Linked DNA regions of Drosophila melanogaster. The protein of the gene in region 1 purifies or fractionates together with the protein of each later gene. This does not show direct contact. Each region holds a gene or a part of one and is shown on either strand. Other genes may lie near its edges.

Evidence for each region. Proteins that work in one complex are often made in the same cells at the same time.
Region 2: the proteins of Prp40 (region 1) and l(2)37Cb purify together in Drosophila melanogaster (affinity purification with mass spectrometry, with the first as the bait; one large-scale study listed by BioGRID). This does not show direct contact.
Region 3: the proteins of Prp40 (region 1) and Arglu1 purify together in Drosophila melanogaster (affinity purification with mass spectrometry, with the first as the bait; one large-scale study listed by BioGRID). This does not show direct contact.

The regions. Positions count from the first base shown.
Region 1 is NT_033779.5:3,020,429-3,028,492, reverse strand, and holds Prp40 (pre-mRNA processing factor 40), read right to left. Parts: upstream 5,268-8,064; 5' UTR 5,106-5,267; coding exon 4,699-5,105; intron 4,640-4,698; coding exon 4,407-4,639; intron 4,351-4,406; coding exon 3,302-4,350; intron 3,237-3,301; coding exon 2,871-3,236; intron 2,805-2,870; coding exon 2,724-2,804; intron 2,662-2,723; coding exon 2,377-2,661; 3' UTR 2,054-2,376; downstream 1-2,053. Other genes in the region: Sf3b2 (splicing factor 3b subunit 2), read left to right, coding at 1-127, 185-1,154, 1,211-1,455, 1,519-1,888; alpha4GT1 (alpha1,4-galactosyltransferase 1), read left to right, coding at 5,544-6,070, 6,125-6,707; CG17264 (uncharacterized protein), read right to left, coding at 7,266-8,064.
Region 2 is NT_033779.5:19,123,498-19,128,757, forward strand, and holds l(2)37Cb (lethal (2) 37Cb), read right to left. Parts: upstream 3,480-5,260; 5' UTR 3,427-3,479; coding exon 3,077-3,426; intron 3,016-3,076; coding exon 2,879-3,015; intron 2,819-2,878; coding exon 1,249-2,818; intron 1,182-1,248; coding exon 554-1,181; 3' UTR 501-553; downstream 1-500. Other genes in the region: Phb1 (prohibitin 1), read right to left, coding at 1-55; l(2)37Cd (lethal (2) 37Cd), read left to right, coding at 3,776-3,895, 3,958-4,159, 4,217-4,346, 4,474-5,260.
Region 3 is NT_033779.5:9,934,267-9,940,051, forward strand, and holds Arglu1 (arginine and glutamate rich 1), read right to left. Parts: upstream 3,869-5,785; 5' UTR 3,740-3,868; coding exon 3,392-3,739; exon of another isoform or gene 3,245-3,391; coding exon 2,972-3,244; coding exon of another isoform or gene 2,738-2,971; exon of another isoform or gene 1,304-2,737; coding exon 1,220-1,303; intron 1,158-1,219; coding exon 990-1,157; 3' UTR 501-989; downstream 1-500. Other genes in the region: CG4619 (uncharacterized protein), read left to right, coding at 4,698-5,785. UniProt on the Drosophila melanogaster protein: Post-transcriptional regulator of gene expression; modulates splicing and premature cleavage at cryptic polyadenylation sites of its own pre-mRNA through binding and regulation of the U1-snRNP complex.

The DNA of each region.
Region 1 (8,064 bases):
AGGTTGCCGAAAAGGAAAAGAAGGACAAACGCAAAGAGAGTCGCAGCAAGCGCAGGAAGGATCGTAGTGATGAGAAAGATACGGACAAAAAGGCTGGCGAGGCCAATGATGAAAATGTGACCATTGAGTAAGTCATAGCAGCTCGTTCCGAGGAACCACACTAATAAACTCTTATCCCTTTCAGATATGTGCCCGAAAAGATAACCATTGCCGATTTGGCGCCAATGTACCGCCAGTTTTATCGTGTGTTCGAAATCTTCAAGCTGGAAAACAAACCAAAGCCTGTGGAGAAGGACAAATCTTCGCACGATTCTGAGTCCCATCCCAGGGACAAAAAGGCTACAGACAAACAGCTCGAGGACGAGGACGATGACGGCGATGATGACGAAGAGCGCAAGGAAGACAAGGAGAAGCTGTCCAAGCGGAAACTTAAGAAACTGACCCGTTTGAGTGTGGCAGAACTGAAACAACTGGTCTCTCGACCTGACGTAGTGGAGATGCACGATGTCACAGCGAGAGATCCCAAACTACTGGTTCAACTGAAAGCCTATAGGAACACAGTACAAGTGCCGCGGCATTGGTGCTTCAAGCGAAAATATCTGCAGGGCAAAAGGGGTATTGAGAAGCCTCCGTTCGATCTCCCCGCCTTCATCAAAAAGACGGGCATCATGGAGATGCGCGAATCGTTGCAGGAACGAGAGGACGCCAAGACACTCAAGGCCAAGATGCGTGAACGCGTCCGTCCCAAGATGGGCAAAATTGACATTGACTACCAGAAACTTCACGATGCCTTCTTCAAGTGGCAGACCAAGCCCCGCATGACCATTCATGGCGACCTCTACTACGAGGGCAAGGAGTTTGAGACACGCCTTAAGGAAAAGAAGCCCGGAGATCTCTCCGAGGAGTTGCGCATTGCTCTGGGAATGCCCGTGGGACCCAACTCACACAAGATTCCGCCACCATGGCTCATTGCTCAACAGCGCTACGGGCCGCCGCCCTCGTATCCGAATCTTAAAATTCCTGGCCTGAATGCTCCGATCCCAGACGGAACCTCGTTCGGTTATCATGCCGGAGGTTGGGGCAAGCCGCCAGTGGATGAGAACGGAAAACCGCTGTACGGTGACGTATTTGGAACCAACATATTGGACCTTGATGTGAGTGGCAACATTCGCGTAGCACTTCTTGTTTTAATGTCATTGTTTTTTTATAGAATGGCGTAGACGAAGCTGACATTGAACGTAACCAATGGGGCGAACTGGAATCGGAGTCAGAAGAATCATCCGAGGAGGAAGAGGAAGATGGCGAGGACTTGGGCGATCAGCAGGATGAGACTGGCCTGGTAACGCCAGTAGAGGGACTAGTAACACCCTCTGGACTCACCAGTGTTCCAGCTGGCATGGAAACCCCCGAGAACATTGAGCTTCGCAAGAAGAAAATTGAAGCCGAGATGGAGGAGTAAGTGAACTAATATTTTTAAAATAACATCACGATTAAGCCCATTATTCCAACTTCTCCTAGCAACGAAACTCCTGTTCTGTATCAAGTGCTGCCTGAGAAGCGCACCGACCGCATAGGGGCTTCCATGATGGGATCAACCCATGTCTACGACGTCAGTGGCAGTGGGGCTAACAAACAGCCCCCAGTTCGATCAACCACAGATCGCGAGGGCATTGTGGAACTGGCTCTCGATCCTAGCGAATTGGACTTGGACAATGACGCAATGGCCCAGCGTTATGAGCAACAAATGCGTGAGCAGCAGAATCACCTGCAAAAGGAGGATCTGTCAGACATGTTGGCCGAACATGTGGCGCGGCAGAAATCGAAGCGCAAGCGACAGCAAACGGATCCGGCCAAGACCACAAAGAAGTACAAGGAGTTCAAGTTTTAGTTTGACAACAAGAAATACAACTTTTCCATTTGTGCGATTGTCAAGGATGTCATTAAACATAGTAAAAACTACAATAAGTTCGCGTCATTCAATTTAAATGCGAGGATTTAAAATAGGTTCTGCAAAAAGTGAAGTTAACACAAAAGATCTTATCTTGTAATTTCTATCGTAATTTGTTTATTTTGATGCAGAATCAAAATCATTTGCGTATAACTTAAAATTTGACTCGTTAGGTTTAATTCTCATTTATACATTGAAACTTATTGAGACTAAGAAATTACAATTGTGGTTCGCTGTGTGGTTTGTGCTGGGACCAGGACAGTATCTAAACCAAACGAAGCAGAGTGCAGTGGAAGGCAAGGACTGAAAAGAGAACTTGTCCAGCAACTGAGTCCAGGGCTAGCTACCTCTCCCGATCCTCCTTAAGCTAGAGCTAGAGAGTGCCACACGATGTCGATGTCGGCTTTGACTCAACGCCTGTCAGCTGGTCACTCGTCGAGCTGCTCGCTGAGTTGGGCTAGAAGAGCCGCTCGCTTCGATTCCAGCTCGCCGTCACTTAACGTCAGCTCCTCGTTTCGCGATCCAGACGACTCGACGGACTGGGCAGGACTAAGGGGCGTGCCGGATCGATTGTGCCTGTTGTGTCGCTTGTCCTTCTTAGCTCGCTTCTCCTTCTTCTTTTTCTTTGCGGGTGAGTGCGAGTTTGAGTCGTTCTGAAGTAGAGCTTGAGTTCCCGGCGATTGAATGCCTGGAACATCCGATTCGCAGGAGGACTGAAATGTAAGCCATGTTAGATAGTATAGTTGTCCAAGGACTGGGCCGACTTGCTACGTACACCTCGCAGTTTGTTCTTGCGCTTCTTTTTCTTCTTCAGCAATTTTTCGCTCTCGATGCTGCCAATTGAGGTCAGGGAATGCTGTATGTGCGTGACGTTATTATTTAACTTACAAGTTGCATTTAATGTTATGTTTAGCATACTAACCGATCGTGTCTTGGAGCGCCTTCGCTTGGACTTCTCCACTTCTATATGCTCATTCTCGATGTCTGATCTCGAGACGGACCGTACTCGTTTTTTGTGCTTCTTGTTTTTCTTAGATTTTCGTGATCGCGAGTGATGATGGCTGCACGCATCTTCGCTTTCCTTAACAAAGTCCTCCCAGATCTTCTCCACACCGATTTCTTTTTCATAAAGGGCAAATGCTTCAAGGTGTTCTACCAGCTTCTTGGCGCTCTCATAGGGTTCGGCCACTGAGACGTTCGCCTCCAGCCATTCGTTTTTAATTTCATTTTCTAGTTTCCGCAACCTTCGCACCTCCTCTTTCATCCGTTCCTTTTCAATGGCCTCGGCCTGTAGATTATAAATACACAAATGAGTTTTATTGATATAAGGTTTTTTTCCCACTCCATAGTTACCTTTTCCAGCAGGGAGTTGTATGTGAGCTTCACATTTCCCGCGTCCAGGCTGGCTGACCGCTTATCTTCACACACGACCGTGGCAAAGTCCTCGAAGGATGTCTTCGCTTGGACAACAAATGCCTTTTCCTTGAGGATCTCCCTTATTATTTTTTTCTCATCATGGAAGCGGGCTTTCAGGTTTTCCACATAGAACTTGAAAAGATCCAGGGGTGTAGACCCGCTCTGGCCGAGCATAGCGGAGAATCGCAAATCGGCTGATATGATGGGATACAGCTCCACCCACAGCGACATGGAAGTGAGCTTTCCCTCTTCATGCAGGGAGTCGAGCAGCGCAAGAAAGGAGTCCCTGTTTTTGCGCTGCTGTCGCTTCATGCGCTTCTTTTCCCGCTCACGTTCCTCGTCCTCCTCCTTTTCCAAGGTGCGAATGTGCTCCTCGAAGACAATTAGGGCGTCCTCCTTGTCCATTCCGAGCAGAGTCACATCATTCTTAAATGCTACGTTGTCCAATAGCATAACCTGAGCCTCTGACCAGGTGGTGGCATGATTGATTGAAGTCATCGACTCTAGCAGCTCGCCCAGAACCTTCATGTTTCGTTTTTTCAGCAACCGCGCTTCTTCCTTCTCTCGCTTCGCTAAATTAAATATACAGTCCTCGTATATATCTCGCCGATCCGGTTCCGGCACCGCGGTCCATGTTCGCGTTCCGGCAAATACTTCTTCACAACGAAAATATTTCATCTGCGAGTTCATCTTATCGCTGGACATAAGGAACTGCTCCAAGTCCTCTTTTGCCTTCTTGGCTTTTAAGCGAGACTCCTCGCGCTCGTCCTTAATCTTCTGCGTCTTGTAGGCATTGAATGTTTGCTTGCGCTCGTTCAGATTTTTGAAGGCTGCGTATCGCGGATCCTTTGATATGATTTTCACACACTGGTCCCAGTTCGCATTTGATGGCACATTGCGGTCCCGCAGCAGCTCTTTAAAGGACTCGATGGCCTCGCGTTTATCCTTAAACACCACAGCGCTCTCTGACTTGTCGTCCTTCTTAGCTGCAAAGAAAGTCGTGTGACTTGGGCTGTATATTTTCAGAGTTTATAATATTTACCATTTTGTTGTGGCACCTCTATAGCCGCTAACGTGGCGGCCATGGCCTGATCCATCGCTGATGACGAGTTCTCGTTGCTGCTGGGTGTCAGCGGCGAGTGGATCTCAGGAGTCGGTAATCGGGGGGCAACAGGCAGGGCAGCGGGAAGAATACTAGCCAGAGCAGCAGGTGGCACCATGCCGGCTAAGCTGGATGATGTCATGGCTGCTACGGCTTTGGCGGCTGCAGCAGCTCTGGGTAAACAAGGAATCATATTACTAAGTGGCACGCGATGCACAACTAATTTACTTACTCTTCCGCCTTCGCCTTGGCCTTCATATCCACGTACTCCGGCGGCGGCTCCCAGCAGGTCTCCTTGGTGGCCACGTTGTGGTAGTACACTTTGCCCGTATCCGAGCGATACTCCTTCCAGGGACACTGGTTGTGCAGCAGCTCGGCGGGCGTCATCAGAGCCTCCGGCTTCTCCCACGAGCTTTGCTTCGTGTTCTGATTGTAATAGTATGGTCGTCCGTCCGGCGCCTTGTGCTCCGTCCACTCGGTGCTGGTGGCCATCACCCCGAAGGCGGCGGCCAGCTCCGGTGGGGGTGGGGCCCCAAATCCGGGTGGTGGAAACTGCGGCACGATTGCACCGGGCGGCGTGTAGCCTATGCCCCTTCCCGGTGGCGCTCCTCCATTGCCCACGCTAGGAGGAACATTCATTTCACTATTTTGCTATATGGGTAATGGGTGCACCGAGAGTCTACCGGTCGTTGCGTGCTGCGCCGGCCAATTCACTTTTCTTTCGGTAATTGAAAAAATCCGTAAAATTCTCAAAGCGAATGCCGCTTTCCACGCCAGAGATGTCGATTGTGCAATGAAACTGCCCACCCCATCGAGTTATCGAGTCCACACACGAGAACTGTCCACCCGGTAGATTTTCTGTTATCGATTAGCTTCCGCGGAACGATAACAGCGCTTTTTGTTGTGGTTCTTCGCTGTGTGCCTTTCAATTGTTAGAGTTTCCTTGTCGTCGAGGGCGATTAAGGAATACTGCCCAGCGACGATGTGGCGTACATAGAGTAAGAAATAGCTGAAATGTACAACATTTAAGTTAAATGATGCTTACACTATTTTTTGCTACCAGATCTCTCTGCAGTCATGCTCCTCTGGTTGCCCATTGCGGTGGCACGCAGGATGTTCATCATCCTCGTCCTAATGGTAATTGGAGGCCTCTTCTACATCTACACTTCGGAAAATAAATACCACTCATGCTTTATGGAGGGCCAAGTACTGGCAACTCAGCAGGCGCTAACTGCAGATGGCGAAACAAATCTATTGGGCGACGTCCTCCAGGCGGATCCCAAACCCTCGCCCGGAAACAGTATCTTCTTTCACGAGACCAGCTGCCGCCTATCCGAGAACAGACAGCTGGAGACGCTGAAGGTCACTGCCCGCCAGGCATGCGCAATCGAGTCGGCAGCGATGCATAATCCGAATTTCCAAGTGTTCGTCCTGTTCGCTGGCCCCACCTATCGAATCTCCAACAACAAAAGCCATCCCCAACCATTGTTGGAGGCCATTCTCAGTTACAGCAATGTCCATCTACGTCGACTGAATCTCGAGAGTTACGCATCTGGCACGCCCATGGAGGAGTGGCTCAAAGATGGTCGTTTGTCGCGGTCAAAGTGAGTTTAAAGACTCTCCCTAGTTATTACTCATTGATGACATTACCTTTCCAGATATTTGTTCTCGCACATATCAGACTTTCTCCGCTACCTTACCCTCTATCGGTATGGCGGTCTTTATCTGGACATGGATGTGGTGGTGCTTCGCAACATGGAGAAGGTGCCGCCCAATTACACAGGTGCTGAGTCCAACACCCATTTGGCAGCTGGCGTAATGAACCTGGCAGCCACTGGCTTTGGCCACGAGATCGCCGCGTCCTGTTTGCGCGACTTTCAGCACAACTTTAACGGCGGGGACTGGGGCAACAATGGCCCAGGGGTGATAACCCGTGTGGCTCAGAAGATATGTGGCACCAAAGACATTGCTCTGATGCGAGAGGACCCCAAGCGCTGCATGGGCTTCAAAGTATTCGGACGGGGCGCCTTTTACGCCGTACCGTGGAAGCAGTGGCGAGACTTCTTTGAGCCGGAAAACTTAGAAGAGACAATCGCCCGGTGCAAGGACTCGTATGTAGTGCATGTGTGGAATAAGCACTCGAGCAAGCTGCCTATCAAAATAGGATCTAAGAACGCCTACGCCTTGTATGCCGAACAAAATTGCCCGAGATCGTACAAGGCTGCTGGCGAATACTTCTAGTATCAGAAGGGTTATCAAGCTCTTATCATTTGTATATGAATGTTTACCGCTGCAAGCCAAAGTCGTCGCCCTGCAAAGGGGCCATTGCTAAATGTATCCCTACCTATTTGCTGTCATCCTGTTGGCATTAAGTTTCATTGTCATTCCAAGCGATGTCAGCTTACTCAAACGCACATCCGCAGCACAGTTCAAGTCAAATGGAATGGTTTTTTATTTTGCGATAAGCTTTACCTCTCCGATTGCACATTATATATATGTATTTAAATACTGATTGTGAATATAATTCGATAATATAAGCAAGCGAACAACTCACATAGACATTTATTGAAAGCTGTAAAAGTCGCTTAGAATACTATTTTGAATCATTGTAGTTTGTCTTAACTAAGTTCGAATAAGTTGAAGAATTTTGTACATACTATTTATCCAGGGAATGTTACTATCAACCTACAAATAAAATAGAAGTATTTAAGTCATCACAAACACAGTATCTTAACTCTATTTCGATAATTGAAAAATAATTTGTTAAAGCGAAATGAAAGTTAATATCCCCGCAAGTCATTACATGCATTGCACTTGGGAATATCGCAGACAGGCACCCACGTTATCCTCTGCGTTCGCCTTGCCGGCGCCCTGGCCATTGCCGAAGTGGACACCAATATAGAACGGAGTCACAGTGCTTTCAATGCGACAGGGCCACACGCCCGAGGAGCAGAATTGGGCGCCGCAGTGGACGGGCTCGCACCCAGGAAGTGGGCCCAGACCGGTTCCTATGAAATCCTCTATGATGCAAGGCATTGTAATCCGGTCAGAGCAGGTGCTGAAGAACTGGCGGGCCTGTCGCCGTCGCCACTTCAGCGGCAAATCGATGGCATTCCGAATAATACCCATGATGTCGAAGCCTCCACTGGGACGAGGACGTCTGGAAACGGTAGGTCCCTCCGTGGTGGGACGACTCCTGAAGAAGAGAAACCCACCGTCGTCATCCTCATCATCGCCTACCTCACCACCCGATCCCTCCACATCATCGCTGGCTGGCGAAGATGCAGGTGCTGCCGAGGTGGTAGATGCCTCTGTACTGGATCGGAGCGGTGTGGGAGTGGTTGATGTTGTCGTCGTGCTCATGGCAGCGGTGCTGCTACTGCTGCTGCTGCTGGTACTGCCCGATGATACTGAACTGGCAGCCAGAGTCGAATTTCCGCTCATCATGGTCATCAGCGTTGTGGTTGTGGAGTTTGCCATGTTGGCTAGCATCTGCATGAGGGTGCTAGAAGTAGGTGCTGTAGTGGTCACTGCAGCATTGCCTAATGTTGTTGCTGTTGCACCTGCTGCATCTGACTGGGCTGGAGCAGGACTCGAC
Region 2 (5,260 bases), about 16 Mb from region 1:
AAACGGCCACTCCGAGGCCCATTTGGCCAATGCGATTAAAGAACTGAGCAGCCATTATCCTTTGAATAAAACAAACGTAATGTATTTAGTTACTGTTCTATAAACTATATATGTAAATGAAAGCCGACTGGACTTGGAAATTTCATCAGTTTTTAGGTTAGAACGTCATGGTTTAATGACAATGTGCTGTTTGCGTGTTTTTATCCCCTGTTCTTCCTGGTCTTCAAACGCAGTTAGCTCGGCTCGCTCATAGACTCACTTGTTAAAGGTTTTTGGTTGCACTTAAATTAAATTATTGTGCAATTTTGCTCTTTGAAATGCAAAACACGAAATACAACCACACGGCCTGTTATCGATAATACAACTGTCGGTGGGGCCGCCATATATCGAAACGTACTAATAAGAATCGTATTCGATTGTTTCCTAAGATTATCGATTATCGAAATTTAAAAAGAATAATAATAAACAAAGCCAGTTTACAATATCAAACTACAAATGGTGAAATTTACAATAAAAGTTTATTATTAATTGAAAACTAAAAACCCCCTCAAAATTATTGCGCCATTTCGGCTCGCCCGGCGACTTTTGGCATCTTCTTGTTCGTCGAATCCTCCAGCTCCTTGGCCTTGTAGTAGTGCGGAGCCACCTCCAGCAACCACTTGCTCTCGATCTCTATAACCTGACGCATGTACTCCTTGGAGGTGAACACCAGCTCGTGATAGAGCACCCAGCGCGGCAGCTCCTCAAAGAGCGAGGAGTTCGGATGTATCATCACGGTCTGATTGTGCTTGATGGTCTTGTAGTGACCGCCCTTCGAGAGTCGCGCCACATGGTAAAAGTAACCAGCGGTGGCTGCCTTGCGCACGTTTACTGTTTCTGGCAGGCAGCTGACCATGTCGATCTCGACACGCTGCATCAGTCCCACCAGCTGCTCCCGCACGTCGCGAGCCCGCTTCATCGATCTGTACTGGATGAAGTTCTCGTAGCACCACTGGGTGCTGTAGTCCGTCTCCGCCCACTGATTGTAGACCTGCAGGAGGCTCAAGTGGTCGCCGTGCATGTGATTGAAGTTTTTTCGGGCTGTGTCCGCGTGAATGATTTTGTCCTTGGGCCTGTAGAAAATGGCGCTATTCACGGACAGCATGGCTGCAATGGTCACCATCTCCTCGGAGCATTTGTATCTAAAACAAAAATATACGAATATTATACGAATTATTTCACTTCTGGTTTGTTAGATCGATTACATACTTTTCGCTTGCCAGCAGCATCTTGCCCATCATGGGATCCACGGGAAACTCGGCCATCCGTCGACCCAGCTTGGTTAACTCTCCATGGTGATTAAGTGCACCCAGGGCATATAGCTGCTCCAAAGCCAATACCAGTGTCTCGTGCGGCGGAGGGTCCAGAAAGTCGAAGTGTATCAGATCATTGATGCCCAGAGCCTTTAGCATGAGCACCGCATTGCCCAGATTAATACGCTGTATCTCCGGAACGGTATTGTCCTCCAGTTCATGCTTGTATGCCCACGCCGTATACAGACGGAAGCACTTTCCCGGAGCAGTTCGTCCCGCTCTGCCCGCTCGCTGATTGGCGGAGGCCTTGGAAATGGGCACCACCATAAGCGACTCCATGCCAGTGCGGGAATTAAAATTGTTCTGCTTGGCAAACCCAGGATCAATTACATAAATGATGTTGTCGATGGTTAGCGAAGTCTCTGCGATATTTGTGGCCAGGATAACTTTTCGGGCATTCGGCGGTGTGGGTTCGAAGATTTTGGCCTGCATATCACTCGGTAGATTCGCATAGACGGGTATAACGATCAGCTCACGTATTTTGGAGCCCAGCCGCTTTACGCGATCATGCAGAACCTCCTGGCAAGTCTCGATCTCATCCTGACCCGTGAGGAAGACTAGAATGTCGCCCAAAGGTTGAGTGGCATGAATCTGCAAAACTGAAACGCAACACGCGTCGATGTAGTCCGCTTCCGGAGCCTTGGTGTAGAATATGTCCACTGGATAGCGGCGACCAGGTATCCGAAAGATGGGTGCATCATCGAAGAACGCGGAGAACTTTTCCGCATCCAGAGTGGCACTGGAAATGAGCAGCTTCAACTCTGGTCTAAAGCGAGCAATATCCTTGACCAGGCCAAACAAAATGTCCGTGTGCAGTGTCCGTTCGTGAGCCTCATCGATAATCATCACACTGTAGGAGGCCAAGTCGGGTTCCGAAAGGAACTCTCGATGCAGGGTGCCGTCCGTCATGTACTTGAGAATGGTGCGATCCGAGGTGCAGTCCTCGAAACGGATGCTGTAGCCCACCTCGTTGCCCAGCTTCACGCCCATTTCCTCGGCCACGCGTGCTGCCACCGACATGGCGGCCACACGACGTGGTTGCGTGCATCCGATCATCTTCTTGTCCTTGGTGAAACCAGCTTCCACGAGGTACTGCGGCACCTGTGTCGTTTTGCCCGAGCCTGTTTCTCCTTCGATGATGAGCACCTGATGTTCCTTTACAGCAGCAATCAGATCCTCCTTGAACGGATAAACGGGCAGTGATCTTCTGGTTTCGTCCAATGTCAAACGTTTGCGTTCCTTCTCCGTGAGTTCGGGCTGTCGGCTAGATGATTTCTCTCGACTTCCGTCCAGGGTAAGGGCTTGGATGAAATCGATTTGATCGTCAAGTAGCAGCTCATACTCCTCCTCCGCCTTGGCATCTTTCGCGCCGAAATGGAAACGCGCCGAAGCCAGCTGTTCAGCCTCCCATTTCTTCTGCTCTGAGTTGGGTTGCTTCTCAAACTCATCAACCTCAACGTATTCAGCTTAAGTGGAAAAATAACATATAAGTATTTATCGAGGACCAACGTACGTTGTCTACATACATCGCTCTCCCTTTTTCAGGTCCTGCGGCATATTATAACGCTGGATGCGCTCTAGTTCCCGCGCCTTCTCGTGCTCCTTGGCGATGTTCAGCAGTTGCTTCTTGTACTCGCGCTCCTCCTTCTCCCGTTTGGTCAGGCTGAAAGCAAACCAGGATTATTTGGATACCTATGTAGGTAAGGATTAAGCTATGATCCTACACGCTCTCATCGAAGAGGTACTCATCGTCCAGGATGTCCGCCTCCAGCTCGGCCACCTTGTCATCCTTGCGCTTCTCCAGGTACTGGCGACGCGACTGCAGACGCAGGTGAGGCACTATCTTGTCCCGATCCTCATGCTCAAGCTTCAGTCGCTTGGTGGCCTCCTCGATGGCCCTTCGTCCGCCGGTGGAATCAACCACATTGCGCGTCCGATCGTCATCCCGCTTCTTCAGCCGGCTGGCGAACTCGTCGCGCTCCTGCAGGTCCTTTAGGCGAGACTCTTCCTCGCTGTCCGGCTCCTCACCGCTGCTGCTGCTGCTGGCCGTGCGTTTTCTGTTTTTACCCGACATTTTCAAGATTGCCTATAAACAAACCGGCTAGCGATAGGTAATTCGATAACATGCAGTGCTGCCAAGCTAGCTATTTTCAGCACTGGGTGAGCAAACAATAATAATCAAATTGCTAAAAATATATTATATATATATATAATATTCTATATTTATTTTATTACAAATTATGTTTCTTATATTATAGGCTTATTTGTGGCAATAACTAGTTTTAAAGGACTTATGGGTACACCTTCATGGCACATTCAATTTTGTGTGTTGCTCATTTTTTTTTGCTCGAATTTATTAGTAGAGAGCATCACTGTTCCCCTAACAGCTGTTTAATTCGTTAAACTCACCTCAGTTTCATATCATGTCGCGCCAATTGAGTTTCAATCCGCAGAAAGAATATGAGTTGATCGAGTACCCCGGCCGAGTGGTAAATCCCGATCGGATGATAGCCACTCTGGGCGGCATCATCAATGTGTCTAAGGTATGGAATTCAACCTGGTCAGGCAATCGGGCAACTTGGCTGATATCTTATTCCATGCACAGGTTTTGGGCGACGAAGTGAAACGATTGGCGTTGCACTTCCATCCGGAGAATCCCTACAACAAACCCACTTTTGGGGACTGCACGGATAAGACTGGTGTCCTGCTATCCATAACCGTGAGGCGCCACAAAAAGGACAAGCAACGGCCTCCGGAATATTTTGTGCGGGTGTTGGGCCACTGCAGCAGGAGCTTCACCTTTGAAAGTGAGTAGATGGTCGGAATTCCATCCACGATATATTCTAATTTCCTTTTACTTTAAGCGCTTTGTGATTTCCAATACCTACCCCTCTGGTCAACTCCCAAAAGTGACAACGCAAATGCTGCCCAGGAGCTCACGTACGCTTTGGACCAGTTGAAACCCAAAAACACCACCGACTTGGACTACTTTAAGTGAGTAACTTGTCCATATTCGTGCTCTGTGCACCAAGAGAATGAGATCCTGGTTTGAAAGCTATATAGCATGTATAATTAATCATTTTAATGCTCAGTATGTAAAAGCATCGTATTTTTCCCACAGACGTCGCCACAGCCAGTTGCTGGCGCTGCCCGAATTGTTCACCCACGTGGACACTGTCTATGCGGGCACGTATCGCATCGATCCCTCAGAAGACGGCCAACATGAGGTGCTGGGCGTGCAGTCCAAGTCCTCCTACGACAACCAGGGCGTGGTCTCGTTCAACATGGTGGACAGCTTTCCCACCCAGGCAGACTCCCAAAACCTTAAACGACTCAAGGTCAAGTACGTTTCGGATGAGCAGCTGGCATTGGTCAAAAAACTTTTCGATGACTGCCCAATTTGGACCCGAATCGCGCTGCAATATGAATCGGGTTTGACCAACGACAAACTCAAGTGCATCACTCCATCGCTGGCATTTTACTTTAGCAACGGCCCGTGGCGCACTTTGTATGTTCGCTTCGGCTACGATCCCCGCAAGGACTTCAATAGTCGCTACTATCAGACTTTCGACTTCCGACTCCGATTCAGCACTGGTCTCTCCGAATTCGTGTATGCTAAGAAGTTCGTAAAGCAACGGAGGGCGGCGAACGCTCCATTCGCGCCCATCGAGGATCGAGTCTCTGATTTGGTTCAGGACATTGACTATCCCTACTTCGATGAGCACAAGCTGCCGCGCTCCAGGCAATGCATGCTGCGCTACTGCGACGTCCGTATGACGAGGATCCAGGAAATGTTGGAGAAGATCCCCACTCCACTTACCGGAGCTGTGTGCAATGAACGCACGGGCTGGCTGCCGCCGGGATTCGATGCTCAAGTGCGTCAGATTGTCTGCGCCTCGATCAGCGAA
Region 3 (5,785 bases), 6.9 Mb from region 1:
GTGCGTATGCATAACAGGCATATCTTGCGCCACATTCGCTTAGAACCACATTACGACTCTGAGTGAAGTCGCCTACCAATTCGGCATCCCCGCCTCCTGCGCACGCACGCACTTGGACAGATCGGACACCGCCGCCTCTCCACCTGATCGCAGCCTCCAGTTCCATGCTACGCGCGGGCGTGCCGGCTGTCGCCCGCTGTCCAGCGTCGCCCAACCCAATCAGCAACAAGAGACATATAAATTGAAGTAGTCTCTATAAATAATAAGTTGTGTCTACTTAGCGACATGTACACTGGCTTAGATCGTGTCCGATACCAAAGGGGATCGGGGGATTCGGTGGAGGATGGAGGAGCTGAAAAGCGCACGTATGTTTTGGCAAAACTGTCAAATTTACTAAGCGAATGGTGCTTAATTCGCTCGCTAATGCACTTGTAGCTCTTGCATTGCAAATCTGAAACACTTAAGCTTATACAGATTATATATAATAATATTCAACTTTTGGCATTTCTAAAGTTTTTTATTATCGATTTCAGCTGATTTCTATGTTTTCTTGAAATATCAAAAAATTGCAAATAGATTACATATGTATTTCACTGACATCTTTTTGGTTTTCTTTTTTTTTTTTTCTTCTTTTTTGTTAATCGTTCAGCTGTGACAACAATACGACGCACTACACATAATCATTTGTCTCACATATGAATTCTTTATGTAGAAAAGGTTAAGTAAATCGCTAGCGTATTGTACTATATAGAGCCGTATGTGTTCAGTAATTGGCAATTTTGAAAACGTTGAATCTATTGGCTGTGCTTTGCCTGCTCTCAGCACCACAGCTCGTCCTTAAAATAATAAAAATAATATAGAACACAATTACAACAATGAAAACGAGTGCATGGTCTGTGTCGCAGGCAAATAGCCACTGAGGTAAAAAAAAAAGCAAAAGCTGTTAACAAGAAAAGGTGCGACGGTCACCAGACTGATGCCTACGCTCCTCATAATGCGCCCGGTTTCAGGGAGAACGATAGCTTGGGCCTGGAATTGTTTTTGCCTAATATGACCTTCTGCTCTTCCTTGACGCGCTTCTCCTGCTCCTTGCGCATGCGTTGCCGCTCCTCGTCCATAAGGCGCTGCTCCTCGATTATTGCTAACCGTTCTTCGGCCTAAAGAAAAAAGAAATCAATTATGATCATAATAATATGGTTTGTTTGCTATGAATTCTTACCAGTTTTCTTTGCGCCTCTTCGATTTTGCGATTGTTTTCGGCCAAAATTTCTTCGAGCTCTTCGCGTTTTTGTTTTTCATCCTCCTATAAAACCCAAACAAGAAGACGATTAATAACAAAAATCGATCCTTTAGCGAGAAGCTTAATGCTAATTATAGAAATAAACAGTCTCTTGACATCAGCGATGCAAACTGTGCGACGAATTCGACGCACGTTTGTGGTTGCAGTTTTTTGCTTGATGAGCTGCAAAGGCAGTTAAAATCTAGTTTTATGTTTAACAATAAGTTACAAAGAATATTTTCGGTAGAAAGTAAAACATTTAGTAGTGTCTAATAAGAATGTTTAAAGTAGGTTGTTCTTTTAGTTTATTACAATAAAGGAGCACACAACATAAACAAATGTACTAGTATTTGCTAAATGGTTGGTCTTCATTTGGTTTTTTTTTTTTTTTATTGTTGCTACTTACTATTTAAATAGGTCATTATTCCAGTAAATAGGCTAAATTTGTGTTAATTTATGGTTTTCTTTTTTTTTTTTTTTGCAGATTTTCGATTTGGGATTATTTTTGTGGAGTTTTTCGCTATTCCAGACGTACATATGTAATTTGCTCGCAAAAACAAAAAGCTTAAACACAAATAAGTGGCAATCCAATGCGTATCCGGTTTCAAAAATTCTTACAGACAGAGTTCTATAGAGCTAAACCCTGGGGGGAGTCTTTGAGTCTTTGGGTCTGTGCGCCGTCCTTTCTCGCCTGTTATCCTTACGGCTGCTGGGCAACATCACACATCGCTGGCGTAGGAAACTCACCCGTTATCAAAAGTGGCAGTGATTTGATTTGCATGCAGCGTACTGTTGGGACTAAACTCAGTCGGCCCGCCCACAACTAGAGTGCCTAACTACCCGGACTAACTTAGGGACACCATACCACTTCGCTGGGCTTTGGTATTTCTTTGATTCTTTTGATATTTATTGTTTGGTGTGGAGGAAATGCGTCCGTGGACCAATCGCTCGGCAGCAGGCTTGCTCAACTTCCGGCATGGCGGCACAACGTGGAGTGCACGCGAGTGTTTTGCGGGTAAGGATCACAAAACAGCCACACACACCCACTTGCATACGGGACAAGAGCAGCACGTTCGTTGCACGGGCCTACTGAAGCGGAATTTGCGCGCAATAACAACAACAACGAGTTACGAGAACCAATACCAAAAAAATTAAAATGATACAGTATGTGGGTAGGAACGAACAAAAGATGAAGCTAAGAGTATGCAATAAGTCTGCAATAATGGGCATCAAAACTTTGACACATGCGACACTTGGCAATGTCGTCATTTTGGCTTTTTTGGTAGGAAAAATAAAAAGTTACAAAATTATTGGCAAGAAGAAAAAAAGGGGCAAAACGAGCCGTGGCGTTCTCATCTCGGCTCACAGCATTTAGCTTGCTGCATCATGTGGGGAGGGCTCTGAAAAGTTGCGACTGGTTAGTGATGTACCCGGTTAGTGGGCGCCCTTGGCCCAGGGTTATGCAAGCAATCTAGTACGGGGAGGCTGCTGATGGGACATGGGTTGATGGATGAACAGCCAGTGAGCCGCGACTGAGAGCGCCGCCGGATCGATTTCGCGTGACGTGGTGGAGACGACTGTTTGAACTGCTGTTTTGGATTTATTCAAGTGTACGGTAAATGTGGCATTGTGTACGTGTTTCTGACAGTGATAGCAGCAGTCGTCCAGCGGAATCTGAATACGAGCACCTACCTCGCGCCGGCGTTCTTCTTCGCGTATCTGCTCTCGCCGCCGCTCCAGCTCCAGCATCATTTCGCGCTCCATCTCAGCCTTGGCGGTCTCAACGCGTCGATTGACCTCCTGTTCGATTTCGTCGCGACGCTTTTCTAGCTCCTCCTCGACGCGCTTTTTTACCAGCATCTCTATGCGCTTGGCGGCTTCCTCTTCGATTGTCTTTTGCTCGAGCTCCTTCGCCCGACGCTGCCGCTCCATCTCGGCCAGGCGTTCGACCTGCATCTGGTTTTGCTGTAATGGTAGATCATAGTTTAGTTGCTTTCATCGAAACAGTTGTATCATAAGCGCAGCATGAGTGTCCATCCCGGAAAAATGCGTGTATGGAATGCGTACCCATGGAGTGCTCAAGATGACAGACTATGGACACTATCCACTTACCTCATCCAGCTTCTTAAAGCGGCTGCGCTTCTGTTTGCTACGTTGCGACTCCTGCTCGGAGTACTGACTGTCGCTGCTCGACGAGCTGGAGCGTTTTCGGGATTTCAGGATCGAGGGGGAGTGACGGTAGTCGCGCTCAGTGTGTCGGTCGCTGCGGTGTCTATCCCGCTCGCGGTCCCTGTCCCGTTCGCGATGTCGTCCATGGTTGTTCACCTCCGAGGACTTGTCTCTATCCGTTCTTGTGCTGGGCCGCTCGTGGTCGTGGTGGGACTTACTGCGTTTTTTGTGCTTGCTCTTATGGTGGCGTCGCTTGCCCGACGGACTGGGTGTACGTGAACGGGAGCCCATGGTGCTGGATTGTGTGATTGTATAAGATTTCGAGCTAGTCGAAGGGCTTAACTTGGCTGCCACAACAAATCAATGAGAGCGAATTTAATTTCTCGAGCAATTTTCACAGATGCCTTAAAACAGTGTGCACAACGTTGGCATACTGGCCTGACATAATTCTGGTATTTTTTTTGATACGGTATTTTCTGTGCTTTTTTTATTTTAATTTCTGTGTTGCCCAACATTAGACCGGCAATTGTTTTCAGTTCACATTGGTTTGTTTTGATCTAAAATCATTTGGTGGAACTTGTCGATCATGACTTGGTTATCCTTAAAGCCGACGCACTGCTTGGCCTCCTCCTTGGGCAGCCACTTGAGGTCGGTGTGCTCCTCGGAGAGAATGGGCTCCTGGCAGGGATTCCGCAGCTCCGCTAGCCAGTAAATAACAATCTTCGGCTTGTCTTGCACCTGATAATTCAGGGTCAGCGGAGTGTCCTTGTATATGATCAGATCCTTCTCGTCGTACCTATGAGAGCATTTTTGAAATTAAGCATGTTTTAAAAGATATATCGTTGTGCACTTTCCCGGCTTCCTCTTTCGTTTCTCGCAGGGCAGTGGTAAAATCATCCTCGCCTGGGTCCACATGTCCCTTGGGAGAACTCCAGTGGAAGGAGCCGTAGGAAGCCTTCAGCAATAGGTATTGTATTTCCCCACAAAGGCGGCGAAAAATAACAAAACCAGCTGCCTTTTCCATGTTGTTGCTATCAATTAACCGAAACAGGTGTTTGAACAGTGCTCGAAAGTCTCCAATAACAGTGGTGCTTTTCTAGCTGTTTCCCTCTTTTGCTTATTAGTAGTTCACTTCGTGTGAGAGGAAATTAGTCAGTGTTGAAAAGCGAATGCAGATTTAACGTATGCTTGCGGACTTGCACGTTGTTTTGTAAATTCATTACATAAATTGAGAAGAAGTGCATCCGATATGTACGCCCTGCTTCGCCGCTTTGCCGGCGTCACCAACTTGGGATGTCCCATCAGAACCTACGCCTCCCTTACGCCCAGAGATGTATTGCGGAGCAGCGATGAGACCGGCACACTGCTGACCCGCTTCGCCAAGCACATTGCACTGGAGCGCTACAGGGATTCGGATCACGTGTTGCCCAAGACGACGGTCCGGTACTCTGACTTCTTTCCCATCACGGACGACCGGTACTTTCAGCGGACGGTAGAGAAAACGGATGCAGCCCAATTGCCCGCCCTGATCATCCAGGCATCCAGCTATCGCTCCAATGCCGCTGTACCCATGTATGTGACTGCGCTTAACACGTTGGATAACCATGCGGCTAAACAGCTGGACAAGATGGATACCGCCACAGTGCTCGAGACGCTCTACTCCTTTCTATTCCTCATACCAAGTTGGATAAAGCGATTGGATTTTTACCAAGCAGCCATGCAACGACTGGTCAGGGAGGATTTTCGCGGCAACAAGGAGCGATTCGTTCAGGTGTGCTTCTATATGGGATTGCAAAAGAAGCAGGCCAAATCTTCTGAGGAATTCCAGCAACTCCTGGAAGAGCATCTACAAACGCATTTGCCTGAACTAAATGAAATGGACCTTGCCGTGGTCAGCAATGCGGCGTACAAAACCTCAACTTTGGTAACCGGTGAGGCGAAAACGGCATACGAAGCAAGACTCGTTAATGCCATATTAAATCTGGAGATAAACACCGGAAGCGATGCCTTGCTGGTCTCCTTTGTCAAGGCATTGCGTCTGCAGCAAGTCAAAGATGAACGAGTGTGCCAGCACCTGCAAGATATCTGTCTGGATCCTGTAAAGATAACCCATATTGAACCCCGAGGACTTGCCCATATCTTTGCATTCTTTGCCGAGCAGCTTTGGGATCAGAATGAATGCCTAACTGTCGTCGTAAAACGACTCATGACTCTTCTCAAGCCTGGAGACCTGCGCTCCAAAGACTTGGCCACATTCCTGTGGGCCAGCGCTCAACTCAATTGTGCATTGACTCCTGAGGAAATCAGACAATTGGAACTGACCGCCCTGCGCAAGCT